2 linked regions of the Diceros bicornis minor genome follow. The protein of the gene in region 1 binds, or shares a complex with, the protein of each later gene. Links are inferred from orthologs where the notes say so. Each region holds a gene or a part of one and is shown on either strand. Other genes may lie near its edges. The genes, in order: RASA1 and ARHGAP35.

Region 1 (7,628 bases):
CTTAATACCATGCTATCAATAACTACAGTGAACAGTCACTAGTCAAATATTAATTTAGTCCAAAAACATTTCTTCAATACTTTTATGGGAAATTTGACATTATTTAACCAAGTCACTAAGGCTTTTTCCTCCTTTCATTGAAAATAGGAATTTATAGAAAACACTTGAATTTCATCTCTGAACCTGCTTAATCTGCTAGAAGCTTTTATGAAGTAAAAATAAAATTTTAATATAATTAATTATGGCAGACAGGTCTTTGGAGTTCAAAACATTCTCTCAAATAGCTATTAGGAAAAGAGTCCCTACACCAATAGAATTAGTAGGCAATTTAATGACAATAAAATTATATTCTTGTTATTTGGGGAGACTATTTACTAAACACTTACTATGTGCCAGGCACTGTGCTGAATATGTTCAAGGTTTTCATTAAACTTTAAAAACGACCATATGAGGGAGGTACCATTATTATCCCCATTTTACAGATGGGGAAACTGACCTTTCCAAGATCACACAGCTAGTAAGTGGCAGAGTCAGGATTCCAACCCAAATCTTGTCTAACTTCAGAATTTGCACGCTTAACCACTACACTGTATTGCCTCCAGTGACTCTGGGTTGATATCTAAGATAAAGAAAAGAGGGAAATTTGTACTTCTCAGTGGCAAATTTAAAAAACATACTAGAAATGGAGGATACTTTTTAGAACATGAACAATTCTCATATACAGTCATACAAATATTATTTTTATTCCTAAATACATATAAGTGATAATGATGAAAATCTTACACAATGGACTTCTCACAAACACAATTTGTTCTATGTACCCATTCATGTTTATTATTAAAAATTTAATGGGAATGCTCTGTATTTTCTGCTCAATTTTGCCGTGAACCTAGAATTGCTCTACAAAATAAATTTGACTTAAAAAAATTTAGAACTACAATATACTAAATATGCCTAATTCAATTCAGTTATGAACTGGAATAAGACTATATTCTTTCAGTATGAAAAGTTGCACTTTATTATAACCACAGTGCTGAGCATATAGTGGGCACTTAATATTTAAATCTGACTTTTTCAAAATGGCTTGAAGGTGAAACAGTGCTGGAAACTGGAATTTTTAACACTCTCAGAACACCTTTAGAAAAGTCTGCAATACATAGACATAACATGATAAGTTGGAACAAAATTAGACAAAAAAATTTAACTCATATTGAGCACTATAAAAGGAATACAACACCTCTATACTATGGCTGACATAAATAAGACTAACTTTAATTTTCCACCTTAAGTATCAGAAGATGTAGCCTTAAGTCAAAAATGGATTACTACAGAATCTTTTCCTAAGTCATTTTTTAAGTCCTTTCTAAATCCTCCAAAGATGCTTATCCAAAAAAAAAACCTTTCAACGGTCCAGAGTGACTGTGAACATATAAACCAAATCTTTTTTCCTCTGATACTCATCAAAGGTTGTCGAAATTCTAAAGGTCAATTAAGACAGATCTGAGTGATCTATAAAACAAGTTTTGTCTACTATTACCACTTCCCATCAACATTTTCCTCTCCTCAAGGTCCACCTTTATAAATGCATCCATAAGTTAACCTAGGTAGAGAACAAGTAAGGGGGAGGTGCTAACTTTATATAGAAAAGTCATTTGTCCTATATATTCTGCAGTAGACTGTCAAAATTAATTCTCAAATAAAATATTGTATCGGCCACCAAGAAAAAGTGTTGAAGGGAAGTACACTATTAATTTGTTTTACTTCAATGTTGTACTTACAAAGTCACAACTATAAAAGAATTACACTAATATTAATAAATGGGAATTCTATGGCACAAGTTACAAACATTGCTGGAGTATGGGCCCTTAATCACACCTGTAATTCACGGAACTCCTTTCCTTCCTCGCTGACCCACGTTTTCATAAGTGATCCAAAGACTTTTCTGCACCTCTAGGTTTTCACTAAGCAGAAGGTGGGATTTGCAGTGCAACAAAAGCAAAGCATTCTGACCAATGCATGTTTCAAATGATATCAGTACAATACTGATTCAAATACTCGTATTCAGAGCTTCTCACTCATCATCTAGCTTCAATCGGGAACACACACAAGTTAATACAGACTATGACTGCCTAGGCGGCTGCAAGCTCTGCTGAATCCCAGGCCGCCAGCTCAATTTGGAAGGGGCAGAACCATATCCGGTTCTCACTGGATACACATTTTCCCATCTTAAAAACTTTACATCTTCCCAGAGGAGCAATAAATAGACAAAGACGCCAGGGAGTATGCCTGTGGGGAAGATGAGAGATCATATTAAATCCCTACGCATGGAACCTGAAGCTTCCAAACTTCTCAGAACAAATCACAGCAGAAAGAACGAGGTACGTTTTCCCACTTCTTTCCAGGAGCCAGCTTCCCCAGTCCCAGAACAGTGGTCTTGACTTACTGGTTAGTTGGAGGAGCGGTCAGCGGGATGGCCACCTCTTCCTCCTCGTATTCTGGTCCATCCAGAGAGTCACCTTCGTCCACTGTTCCCAGGCCGGCGCCCAAAGTGGGCAGCTGAGGAGGCGGCGGCAGAGGAGGGAATCCGCCGCCCGCCCCGAAGGGCTCGGCAGGCAACGAAGTGGTCCCCTTGGTGGGAGCCATCTCCCCGCCAGGTCCGGCGGCGGCAGCACCAGCCACGCCAGCAGCAGCACCTCCCCCTGACAGTCCGGCTCCCCCCAGCGCCCCCGCCACGGACACGGCCCCTAGGAACCCTGACCCCGCAGCGGCTCCGCCACCCAGAGTCCCGGCCACTGCGGCCTCCGCCAGCCCAGGATACGAGGCGGCTGCCACAGGCAGGGCCGCGGGGATCTTCACCCGACACACTGCCGGATAGGCACTGGAGCCCGCGGCCGCGCCGCCTCCTGCGGCCCCGGCGGTCACCGGGCCGCCCTCCTCACTGCCGGCCTCGGCCGCCATCATGTTGAAGCCCGCTCGACTCTGCCCTCCCCTGCCCGCCCGGGAGCCCCGAGGGCCACCAGGCCCGGGCTCCGAGCCGCCCCACCCAGGCGCGTCCCCCCGTCAGCTCCCCAGGCGGAGGAAACAACAACAAAAGGAGAGAGCCCGCCGCCGCGCCCCCTCCTCGGGCCACAGCCCAGGCTCCGGAGCTGCCCGGGTTACGGGAAGCGAAGTGGGCAAAAAACCCAACGCCTGCACAAACGCCGCCCAAACCTTCACCTTACACACCCACACTCACGCACACACACATGCACAGAAGCGAAAAACTTCCTGGCTGCCCTAAAGAGGAAGGGAAGCGCAGGGGAAGCGGCTGGGGCGGCTGCCGCTCCTTCAGCCACCGCCGCCGCCGCCGCCACCGCTTCTTCACCACCCCAGTTCCGGCCACCTCCACCGCAGCCACCGCCGGTGCCGCTGCTGGGGCTGGGGCCACTGCAGCCGCTTCATCCTCCACCGGGCTACAGATGGGAGGGGTGGGGAGATAAGAGGAAGGGGGGCGGGGTACTGGGGAAACCGACTGAACTGCTCCCAACCTGGAGCGCTCAGTGAAATCGACCAGAGAGAAAGGAAGGCGGGGCACAGGAGGAGGAGCGGAGGGAAGGAAGGGCGGGGGAGGAGGGAGACGGCGCTTCTGCGCAGGCGCGTTCCCGGCGCGGGGGTGGGGGGGCTGGGCCTGGAGGGAGGAAAAGGAAGAGTCGGGAGGGACGGAAGCGGCGGGGACGCGCGGGGAGCGGACGCGCCGGCTGTCCCGCTCCGGTTCTGGCGCGTGGCGGCGCGGCCGCTCCTCCCGTCGGTGTCGCCGGCGGCGCGCGCCTGCCTCCCTGGGCTTTGTTCGGTGGGCCGGTGGGCCGGGGCAGGGGAGGAGTGAGTACCTGAGCACGCGGCCGCCGGGCGCCGTGAAGACGGGAGGGACAGGGAGGCGGTGAGAGGACGGAATGGGGAACGGGAAAGGAAGATGCCGCGAAGCCAGTGCCCCACTTCCTGACCCGTAGAAAACACACCCTTGGCCCGCGGCGCAGAAACCAGACGCCCAAGGCCCCGGGGGAAGGTGGATATTGCTTCGAAGGTCCAGGCAGTACTATTAATGTTTTCATTTTCGTTGCCTAATATAAATCAGTGTACAACTATTACAAACTAAAAAATAAAATGAAATAAAAAACTAGGTTCTGAAACTCAAGAGAAGAAAACGAAATGGATAAAGGGGTCCATATGAGGAGGGCAAGGAATTTTGGTGGAAATAGTGGTTGTGAAGCCAGATTTCTAGACACGTTTTGTTTTCTTCACCAACCATCCGTATCCTCCCTCCCCCCCACCTCCGCGCTTGCGCTCGCTCTCTCGCTCGCTCGCTCTCACACACACACACACACACACACACACTTACCTGTGCCATAGCAAGTTTGTTGAGTACCATTGCAAGTCGGTTGAGTATTAATGAGGTGTGGAAGAAGAGGGATGCCAGAGACATCACTAATCAACGCACTTTTGTCCTCGTTTGTGTGCGAAAGACGGCAGGGCATGCTTCGCGATGCACACGTGAACGCACAGAGCACCTTCAACAAGGCGAATGTCAAGAGGGTCCCCAAGTGCCGGTTACAATTAAGTATAGTTTCAAAAATTAGAAATAAACTGAAATCTCACCCTTAATATAGCCAAAGAGATGGGTTTTGTTTTGTCTTCTATAATAAAATATATGCATTCGTGTACGTGGAGGAATCATTCCCATTGTTTGAAATTACAGTACCAGTAATTTGCCCTTTTGGATTCATATATTGTTCTTATCTTTTAAATTCTCCCAGGAGGAATGCCACATTAAATACCATAAAATATTGATCTCAAACATCAATATTTAATCTTTCTAAATATCTTTTTAATATTTAATCTTGATTTAATCTTTGAGATCAATATTTTCTCTGCTAAAGATGATCAAACCAATATAGTACCACATAGGGCATGGGAAGGGGCTGTTATAGAGGCCCAGGAAAAAAGGAATAGACCACTAAAAGAGGGCGAAAGGTGCACGCAAGACATTTTCCTTTACTTTAGAAGTTTGCATAAGCCTATTTGCCAAATCACTGACAAACTTGATTAAACGGTAATCCTGAGGACTCCCTCATCGTGCTCACCTCCTATGCAGTGTACCACTGGCAGAGTGAAGATGAACTAGTCACAAGAGTGGTCTCAGACCAGCACTATCCTAGGAACTGGTAAAAATGCAAATTTTGGGGCCCCACCCCAGACCCTCTGAATCAGAAACTGTGCGGCAATCTATGTTTTAATGAGCCCTCCAAGTTGACACATTTACGTTTAAGAACCGCTGTCCTAGAGTGTAGTATGCTAATCAAGAGGGAGGTGTGCAATTATCCTGAATGAGAGAAAGAATAGATGAGAAAGCCGGCTCAATGTCATTCATTAGGTAGGTGGGTAAGAGATGTTGGTATTGGGTTGCTAAGCTCTGTGCTGTTCTAGAAAGGAGGTTAGAAAATGAGAAAGTGCATAATGAAGTAGAGCCATGGTCTTGAAGAGAATAATCAAGTCCTACTTCTTACAGTCACCTCCCTGAAAATAGTTTTTCTTTTAAACTTAGACCCTCAGAGTTAGAAGAGACCGTCAAAGTACCTATTCCACTCACTGGCAACAAATTTTCATGTAGCCTGTGCTTGAAAGCCTGCAGTGTGTTAGCATCCCAATCCTGCAACACTCCCACGCCAATTACCATCATCAGCCTCTGAATGTAGGACATTATTCCGGCAGGTTATCGCCAGCTCTTGGTTATCACTGATCTTCTCTAAGTGCCCACGCACTATCTGAACACTGCCTGAGCTTCCAGATCAGGCTCACTACTCTAATTTGCACAATTACCTCCTCCCCCTTTTTTGAAAATTCTTTAGCACTTAAAGGCCAATATTTAATGCAGTCCAACACCAACTGTATACTGAGTTATACTGTTTTCTAGTTACTTTTAGGTGTATGTATCCACAAAACTATTCTGCTAAGAGAACCTGTGGTTTTTCCTACTGCCTAGCCCTGTGCTAGGCATCCTTGCCAAATGCTTTAACAGATCTCCATCCTTTTAACAAACGCTGGATTAAATCAGCTCACATCTTTGGACATCAGTTGCTCTACTAGTAGGAAAGATCTGCTATGTCTATTTGTATATCAACCTAATACCAGTATCTTACCTTATATTCAATCTTAGAGTTGTGCTTTTTCATCCAAACAGACTACCACATTTTTTTGATGAGGTATTTTCAAATATTTTATATACTCCTTTTACTGGACAGATCTAGGCTTTGATCACTATTTCTTGGGTATTTCCTTAATCTCAAATCAGTCTTCTATCTTCAGTGACTTTATTTTTTCCAAAAGGGTTAAATGTTTCTACCTTCTTTATTTTTGTCTGTTGCCTTTTTTCTTTTTCTACTTACCTTGATCTTCTACCCTTCTCTCATTTATAGTCTCATGTTCTCTTTTTTTCTGTTAATTGCTCCCTCAGTTTCTACTTCTGTGTTTCCCTTTTCTTTTCTTTCAAGCCCCTGAATTTTCTGACATAAGACTATTCTCCTTGAAGTATACTCCTTGAAGTTTCATGAGTCAAAAACCAAGAACAATTAAAAAAAAAAAATTATGAAATATCTATTTGGAGAGAGGCGTTGGTGTTAGGTGTGGTGTTACATAACATCAGTTAACAAAGGGAAGTAAACAGTCTGTTAATTAAATTCACAGATAATATTAAACAAGGAGGTACTGAAAAACAGAACAATATACAAAAGAAAAGAGAGGAAAATTCAAAATAGATTTTACCTTTAGTAAAACAATCTATGGCATCTGTGATTTTAGAAAAGTTACTCCCAATATTGAATTAAACATAGTATTCAATGAAGAGTAAATAATCAGAAATGCTGGACAAAGACTTGTGGGTGAAAAGAGTCTGAACATTTAGTTTAAAAAAATTAATTTGGCTCATTCTGATTTTATTGGCAACTCAAATATGAATAATACATTCTGAAATATTTCACAGTTTTAATACCTCAATATGTGAAAAGGTAATTCTGGGTCAAAAATACAATTTTAGAGAACCTCAAGGGGTTCAGAGCAAATATATGAGGAGTTACTGAGAGGAAGACTAAGCCAGAAGTGATAAAGAGCTTACACCTGTGTTTGAATAATCCCAAATGTGTTTTAAGCCCCAGTACATACTCAGCTGTACAAATAGCCTTCCAAATATATAAATAGTGTAAAAAGATTTCCATGACCCAAAAATTTTGAAAGGAAGCCTTTACTCCTAACCTCTAACATCCCTACTGCATTTGTTGGCCTCATCTTAAAATCCTCAACAGCACAAATTTCCTCATTAGGGAGATGTCTTGAGAACATAACATGGAGGAGATACAGGTTAAAGGAAATTATTTTGATGAAAAAGTAAATAGCTCTGCAGGGATTACAGTATGTGGTATAATAACTAAATAAGATTTATGAAAATTATAAACACCTTGAAGAAATTAAAGAATAGTATGATCTCTGAGGCTATAAGACTTCAGAGGAAATTATCAGGAGCCCTCTTGAAACACTCAAACTTATGTATGGTTATATATGGTTAAAGGAGCTTGGAGCAATTGGATCAAAGTACCCCCTCT
Region 2 (7,080 bases), on another chromosome or scaffold:
TGAGTACATATGTTTACTCGTCCTAAAAAAGACACGTCCTAACTTGTTCATATCAGCACTAATCATAACAGCCCAAAGTGGAAACCATCCAGATGCTCACCAACAGTAGAATGGATAAATACATCATGGTTGATTCGCACAGTGGAATACTAGACAGCACTGAGAATGAACGATCTGCGTCTACACACAGTAATGTGGATGAATCTAACAGTGTTGATCAAAAGAAGTCACTTACAGGATTCCATTATATAAAGTATAAAAACGGGCAAAACCAATCTACAGTCATAGGAGTCGGGATGGAGGTTCTGCTTGTGGGGACTGACTGGAAGGAGACACCAGGGGGCTTCTGAGACATAGGTCATATTCCGTTTGTTATTCTGGGTGCTGGTTACAAGGGCGTGTTCTCTTTGTGAATATTCATCGAGCTGTACACTTGTGATTTGTGCACTTCTCCGTATGCATGTTATATTACCATTTTTAAAGTTCATAGAAATTGCGAGGTTCCTCATCCATCCTTCCGTCAGATATTTAGCGCGTGCCCACTGCGCGTCCAGCTCTGGCCGGCCGCTGGGATCACGCAGTGAATCTGAGCATCTCCGCCTCCCGTTCCTTTCTTGTGATTGGCTGCCCTTCTGGCCAATGGCGGAAGAGTTCACCGCTCTCTGACATCCCTGGCAGCCTCAGCTAGCTGCAGCTTCCTCAGTTCGGTTTGTAGGGGGCGCTGTGAGCTCACCGACTCTTTGGTCAAGCGCAGACCTGGTCCCCACCCTCTGATTCTTTCTGACACTGAGGAATGGCGAGAGAATATGCTCCAGCACCTCCACGCTCTTTGCAAAACTCTTCTGGGGATTTTTCTGCTTATGCATCTCTCCAATGAGGCGCCAGGTCCCCAGGCCCCGCCTTGTACCTACCCCGGCTCTCCGGTTGATGTGACCTCGCGTCCCGGCCATTTGGGCCCCTAGGGCGATGCTTGGGAAATCTTGACAGCGGCCCAGGCCGGCAGTCGGCACTTCTCTCTGTCAGCTAGTTGTTTACTCGGTTGTTTATTTATCCTGGAGTGGAGGCTGGCCGGGTGCGCGGGGGCGGCTGCCCCCAGGGAAGCCTGTTTCCTGTGGTTGGCTTGCTCAGCTAACACCCGCCCTCTTGCGCACTGCAAAGAATTGCAGAGCTGGGAAGGCCCTCCTTCATAGTTCGTTCGTTCATCCAGGGAAACGCTACCTGAGCCCCTGCCTTGTGCCTGGGCCTGTGCTGAGGACATCAATGCTGCTAAGACAGCTCCGGCCCTGTTCTCATGGGGCTTACAGTCCGGTGGGAGAGAAAGACCTATATTACTAGATAGGGACGCCCCAGGGGATTAGGGCTTGGTTGGAGACCCAAAGGGGCTGGCGGAGTCTAAAAGGGGTGCCTGATCCAGCCTGGCAGATCAGGAAGGACCTTCTGGAAGAGGGAATACCTGAGCTAGCATCTGCAAGAGGGGTAGGAGTCAGCAATTGGACAAGGACTGTATCTTTTTGGCTGCCACGCCCCCAGTGCCAGCCATCATTCTCTGCTTGGCTTTGGATTCATTCATTTATTCATTAACAAGTATTTATGGCTGGCCTGGTGGCCCAAGCGGTTGGGTGCGCGTGCTCTGCTGCCGCGGCCGGGGGTTCGCTGGTTCGGATCCCGGCGCGCAACAACGCACCACTTGTTGGGCCGTGCTGTGGCAGCGTCCTATATAAAGTAGAGGAAGATGGGCACGGATGTTAGCCCAGAGCCAGTCTTCCTCAGCAAAAAAGAGGAGGATTGGCATTGGATGTTAGCTTAGGGCTGGTCTTCCTCACACACACACACACACAAACAAAAAAACCCACAAGTATTTACTGTGGGTCATTTGCCAAATTGAGAAACTAGCCAGAATCCCTGCCTTCAAAGGGCTCACACTTAAAATGGTGATACCAATACAGAATTTCAACCCTGATGGAGTGCTGTGAGGAAATAGTAGCTGTGTAGTTATCTGACCCCAATTGTCTGAGTTTGAATCCCAGATCTGCCATTTACTAGCTGTGTAACCTCTCTGTGCCTTAGTTTAGTAGAATAATAACAACTATAACCTACTTACAAAGTGTTGTGAGGATTAAGTGAGTCAATCTGTTTAAAGTGCTTTAGAATGTTGCGTGGTATAAAGAGCCCATTTTTATCAAAGAATGAGGAGTCAGGCCAAATCTGGGGGGCCACTCTGAGGAAGTGACTTCAAGCTAGACTTGAAGGATAAGGCAGAGTTGACGGGCTCCGAAAGAGGGGAAGGGGACATCTGGGTCCAGAGTGAACCCAGTCTTCGCTCTTCTCCAGGTGCTGCCAGTTCAGAAATTTCCCAAGATTGGAAGGACCTAGAACACTGCATTGGAGTTACAAACACACATTAATTTGTGGTAGGGGAATCTGGTGTTCCCTCAAGTAATCTCAAAATCGCTTACAAACCAGAGTTTGCAGTGGCAACCTAAAGAAAATCTGGCCCACAATGCTTAAAGCAAACTTTAAAAAAAATAGTCACGAACATCTAAAAATAAAATTTCATGTATTGAAAGTGATAAATTAAAAAAAAAAGTCAATGGAAATGACCCTGATCAGTCACCAGAAAACTTTTATTTAATGGGATGTTTTAAAACTTTGAGTGCATGTAATTTTATTTATCAACACTTATAATGCAAGGCATGATTTTCAGCGCTTTACAAATATAACACATTTAATTCTCATAGCAACCCTATGAGGGAGGTAAGAATATCGTTCTATTTTACAGATGAAAAGACTGAGGAAAGAAACGCAAAATGCAATAGGAAGCATAGCCTTTCTTCATGAATTCCATAAATATCGACTTGGCGCCCAGATCTTTCATCTTCCACCATCCGTACTTCCGGAGGGGTCCCAGAGGAACCCCTCCTCAGTTTAGAGGAGCTCAAGGGTTACAGCGGTGCCCCTTCCCATCACTACTATTTCCCCTCCAGGCGCCCGAAATGACATGTGATTTGCAGTCATTTGTACATTGCTGACTTGGAGGCCAGGGCTGCACGCAGGACCGGGCCCTCGCCCCTCTCCCGGGAATCAGGCGATCACAGAATGCAGAGCAAGTTGTATTACCGCGCGCGTTGACTGCAGATTTTCTTCACTGCGCGGGGAAAGAGCACGCGCTCCCCAGCCCCGCCCCTTCTTCCGGAACGACGAGTTGCGAGGCTAGGATTGGGCCTAGGCGGGCCACGCCTCCTCACGCTCCCCAATCAGCTCCTTGGCTGGGGGCTCTCCCTCCTCCTCAGCCCCTCCCCACCGCCCCACGTTACGTCGCTCCCTCTCTCCTCCTCCGTTATCCCGGGGTCTGCGGCTCTCGCGGCAAACCCACCTCCCCTTGCCTCCCATTGGCCGCTCAGGTCCCGCGCGAGCGGGATCGTGCCCTTCGCCCCCGCCCCCAAAGCCGGGCCAAGCCTCTCCCCTCCCGCTTTCTCCAAGAGCCAGCACGAGGAGGGGGTTCGGCTGCGTCTGGCGCGCGCAAGGGCGCGCGCGCCTCCCGCGGGCCACTCCCTCCGCCTCGCGCCAGTAGCTGCGGCGGCTTGCAGCCCCTCCCGCGCACGCGCACTTGCCCACCCCCACTCCCTCTGGCCTGTCGCGGGTCTCCTCGCGCAGCAGCCACCGCAGTAGCGGCATTTTCTTGGGGCGCACGCGCACTGCGCCCTCCGCGCCCGTTCTCAGCCCTCGGCCGCGGCGGTGGCAGGGCGCCCCTCGGGCGCGCACGCGCTCTCGCTTCTCCCCGGCCCACCCTGGTTATCCCCTGGCGGCGCGCGCCCAGGGGCCGTTATCCCCCTGCAACGGTCCTCGCGCCACGCACGCGCAGTAGCGAGGGGCGCGCTCGCGGGAGCGGCGGCCGCAGGAAGGAGGCGCCGCCGCCGCCATTGCGAGGGAGGGAGGGAGGGAGCGAGCGAGGCTGGTCCGCCCTCCCCCTGGTTCCCGCCCCTCCCCCTTCCCCTCCCCGCCCTCCCGCCCCGAGGGAGAGCCGCGGCGCGGCGGGAGGAGGAGGTGGAGGAGGCGGAGGAGGGAGCCCGCGAGGGAGGGTCCGCCCGGCCCCCCGCCGCCGGAGCCGCCGCCGCCTCAGCTGCCGCTGGACGAGGAGCAGCAGAACATGGCGCCGGGGCCGCCGTCGCCGCTGTCGGGATCCCGGAGTCCGGGGCCGCGCTGAGGGCGCCCAGCTGGTGAGTGCGCGAGCTCGCGGGCCCCGGCGGCGAGGCCGGGCGCCGCCCCGCTGCGGGGTCCAGGGGGAGGCGGGGACGGCGGGGCCCGGAGCCCGCGAACAATGGAGGAGCCGGAGGGGGAGGGGAGGGAGCGGCCCCCCAGCCCCCCGGGCCCCGCCGGCCCAGCCGCTTCGCGCTGCGGCCCGGCCCACGGGGCCCGCCTGCCCTGCGGACCTGCCCCTGCCCGCGCCAGCCCCGCTGTCCCCGCGGCTGCCCCCACCCTCCGACCCATTGGGATCTCGGGGTCTGCCCCGGCCCCCCCACTTCAGCCCCGCTGGTCCCGACTCTGCGCCTCCCCCTTCCCCCTTCCGCCGCTCCGTAATGCCCTTCGCCCCTCCTGCACTCCGCAGTGCTCCCGGGACCCACCTCCTCAGGGACCCTTCTGCATCCTTTAATTCTGGACCCCCACTTTGAGATTCGTGAGTCTTCTGCCTCCTCTCCGATTCCGCTCTCACCGCCCTTCTGCTCTGTCCCCTTCTTTGACCCATCTGCTGTTACCCCTCCTCTCTTGCGCCCCCAGGAGCTGTCCCTGTAGGACACGCGGTTCCACCTCTTTGGAGAGCCATCTGAGACCCTGTTCGTCTTGGCACTGCTGCCCCAGGTCTCTTTGGACTTAATTTCACGTCCCTTTGGGCCCTGTTGCCCACGCACGGAATCTGCTGCACCCCAAAGATGCCCCTGGGCTCTCGGCCGCTTCCAAGCCTCAGTTCAGTCCCCTGCCCCTCCTCGGACTCGGGTGCACCGGGCTTGCCTCCTCCCGTCTCAACCTTGCTCCCGTTTGCCGTTCAGACCCTTTCCTCTTCCAGACCTTTCTGCTCTTTGCCCAATCTCGGATCTTGCTGTGCCCTCTAGCCTGCTTGCTTTCCTTCTCTGCCTTCCACGAAGCAGCCTCCTCCCGCCTCTCTGACCCTGCAGCTCTTTTCTGCCATTCGCTTCTCTGCCCTCTCTCCCTCAGCCTCTCCGCAGCCTCGGTGCTGCCCGGAACCCCCAGTTCTGCGCCGGTGTTCTCCTTGGGTTTCCTCTCCTCCCCACCTCCTCACTGGCACTCTTGAGCTGTTCCATTCATTTACTCCCCCTTTCTGACCTGTCTCCCCTTCTGTTCTTCTCTGCTTAAGGCTTGGTTCCCGACTGCTCTTTGCTCCGGGTCCTCTCCTTTCCATTTTGGCCCTTCGTAGACTTGCCTTTTACCTAACTAAACCATTGATCACTTTTCTCTGACCTGTCACCCTTTCCCCTCCCGTTCTGCATCTCACAGAGCTCCCCAGATCTTTTTTGCACCTGCTTTCTCATTTGTTCTGTTCTGCCCCCTCCTCTCCATTTAATGTTTTCTTCCTAGCTCTGCCCCTTTCGGAGCTGTCCACTTGCCCACCTATTTTTATGACCCATTTTCACTTTCCTACTGCTGCCCCCTCCTGGAGTGGGCCTCTTTAACCCTGGTCTTCTCAACTGCGTCCCGCCTCTGTTGCCTCTCAATTCTCAGTTTTCCACCTGGCTCTCCCCCCACCATTTTGATTCAGCTCTCCACCTCCAGCCTCTCCTTGCTTGTATTCCTCCTCCCTCCTCTGCCCTCCCTCTTACCTCCTTCTTGAGTTCTCCTTTCCTTGATTCTGCCCAGTATTAGAGATGTCTTCTAAACTATTCCTTGTCATCATCAATCATCAATCATGATCATGATCATGATCATCATGATCCCCCCCCCCCCCCCCCCCCCCCCCCCCGTCAGCTTTGGAGGGGAAGGGGCTGGCTTTGGTCCAGGGTTCTTTGGGCTCTGATTTAGACTGCAGATTCTTTCAGCACCCTGACCCTGAGGGTCTTATCCCCAGGGATCCTGGGAGATCCGGGGAAATAGGTGGGGGTTGGTGGGTGGGTTGCTGCTCTCTGGAGCCTGGGAATGTCTCCCCTTTTCCCCCCACTTCTACCAAGGTTAGTGGGGGGGGGGCTAGATCTCTTCGCATTGCCCCATGTTCTTTCTCACTCCCATTTTGCTCCCCAGCCCCTTCAGATCCCTGGGCTGTACAGCTTTGTGTCCTTCGGAAAGGAGAGTGCAGCTGCTCACAGGGTCTTTCTTCTCTTCCTCACTTTCCCTCCCTCCTCCTCTGGGCTGTTGTAAAGAGACACTTGTACCCTCTCCCCCTTCCATCTCCAAGCCAGCACCCCTTGCGAGAATTTAGGAGTGCATTTTTTGAGATTTTTCTGGCTGACAAGTCATATTTTTGTTTTACCCCCCCTTGCTGGGGAAATGCTGTTTCTCAAGTTCTCCCAATCCCACAGGGAGGTTATGGCCACACTTGGTATTTACGGCTCTGGGTCTGCAGAAGCTGCAGTCTTGCCTTCCGTGATGGCCTCTGGTTCTCAGTGTGACCTTTGGGAGGAGCGGGAGGGTGGGCTTAGTTCTTTTTCACCTCTGCCCCCGGAAGGCTCTAGCTTCCTGGTCTTCAAAATAGTGAGGGCCTGGGTTTGGAAGGCTCTTTGCTGTGGTTGTTTGTTGAAAGAGAGAGTGCCAGGTGTCACTCAGATTTCTGCCCTCTGGTCTTGCAGGCACTCCCAGCCACACGAGCGAAATGCCTCTGGGCAGATCCGTGTTGGATGGGGGTTAGGGGGGCTCATCGGTGTACAAGGAGGATGTGGGTGGGCCTTGACACTCCCCAAGTCTTCTGAGTGACCTGATTTGAGAAATCAGAAATTAGAGTGAGAATGGGGTGCCAGGACCTGGCTGATCTGATTGGATTTTTGGTCTTATTACCTAGGAAATGTCCCTTAGCTGCCTTTCTTTGAGCTGCCTTTCCTTCAGTGCTCTTCTGTTGGGGCACTGTTGGGGGTGGGG

Evidence for each region.
Region 2: the proteins of RASA1 (region 1) and ARHGAP35 are in contact, whole or in part, in a crystal structure (PDB 8DGQ), measured with the Homo sapiens proteins. The link is inferred for Diceros bicornis minor from reciprocal best matches to the Homo sapiens genes RASA1 and ARHGAP35. Residues at the interface, in NP_002881.1 of Homo sapiens: Arg188, Arg207, Ser209, Arg211, Val217, Asn228, His229, Phe230, Arg231, Ile241, Gly242, Tyr256, Leu262, Leu263, Lys264, Lys358, Ser379, Asp380, Asn381, Ser387, Gln397, Arg398, Phe399, Lys400, Met411, Gly412, Gly413, Arg414, His425, Tyr426; in NP_004482.4 of Homo sapiens: Ser1085, Asp1086, Tyr1087, Ala1088, Glu1089, Pro1090, Met1091, Asp1092, Ala1093, Val1094, Val1095, Arg1098, Glu1100, Asn1103, Ile1104, Tyr1105, Ser1106, Val1107, Pro1108, His1109.

What each region holds. Positions count from the first base shown.
Region 1 is NC_080740.1:14,384,254-14,391,881, reverse strand, and holds the start of RASA1 (ras GTPase-activating protein 1), read right to left. Parts: upstream 3,036-7,628; 5' UTR 2,962-3,035; coding exon 2,444-2,961; intron 1-2,443. UniProt on the Homo sapiens protein: Inhibitory regulator of the Ras-cyclic AMP pathway. Stimulates the GTPase of normal but not oncogenic Ras p21; this stimulation may be further increased in the presence of NCK1.
Region 2 is NC_080773.1:22,366,378-22,373,457, forward strand, and holds the start of ARHGAP35 (rho GTPase-activating protein 35), read left to right. Parts: upstream 1-3,973; 5' UTR 3,974-4,217; intron 4,218-7,080.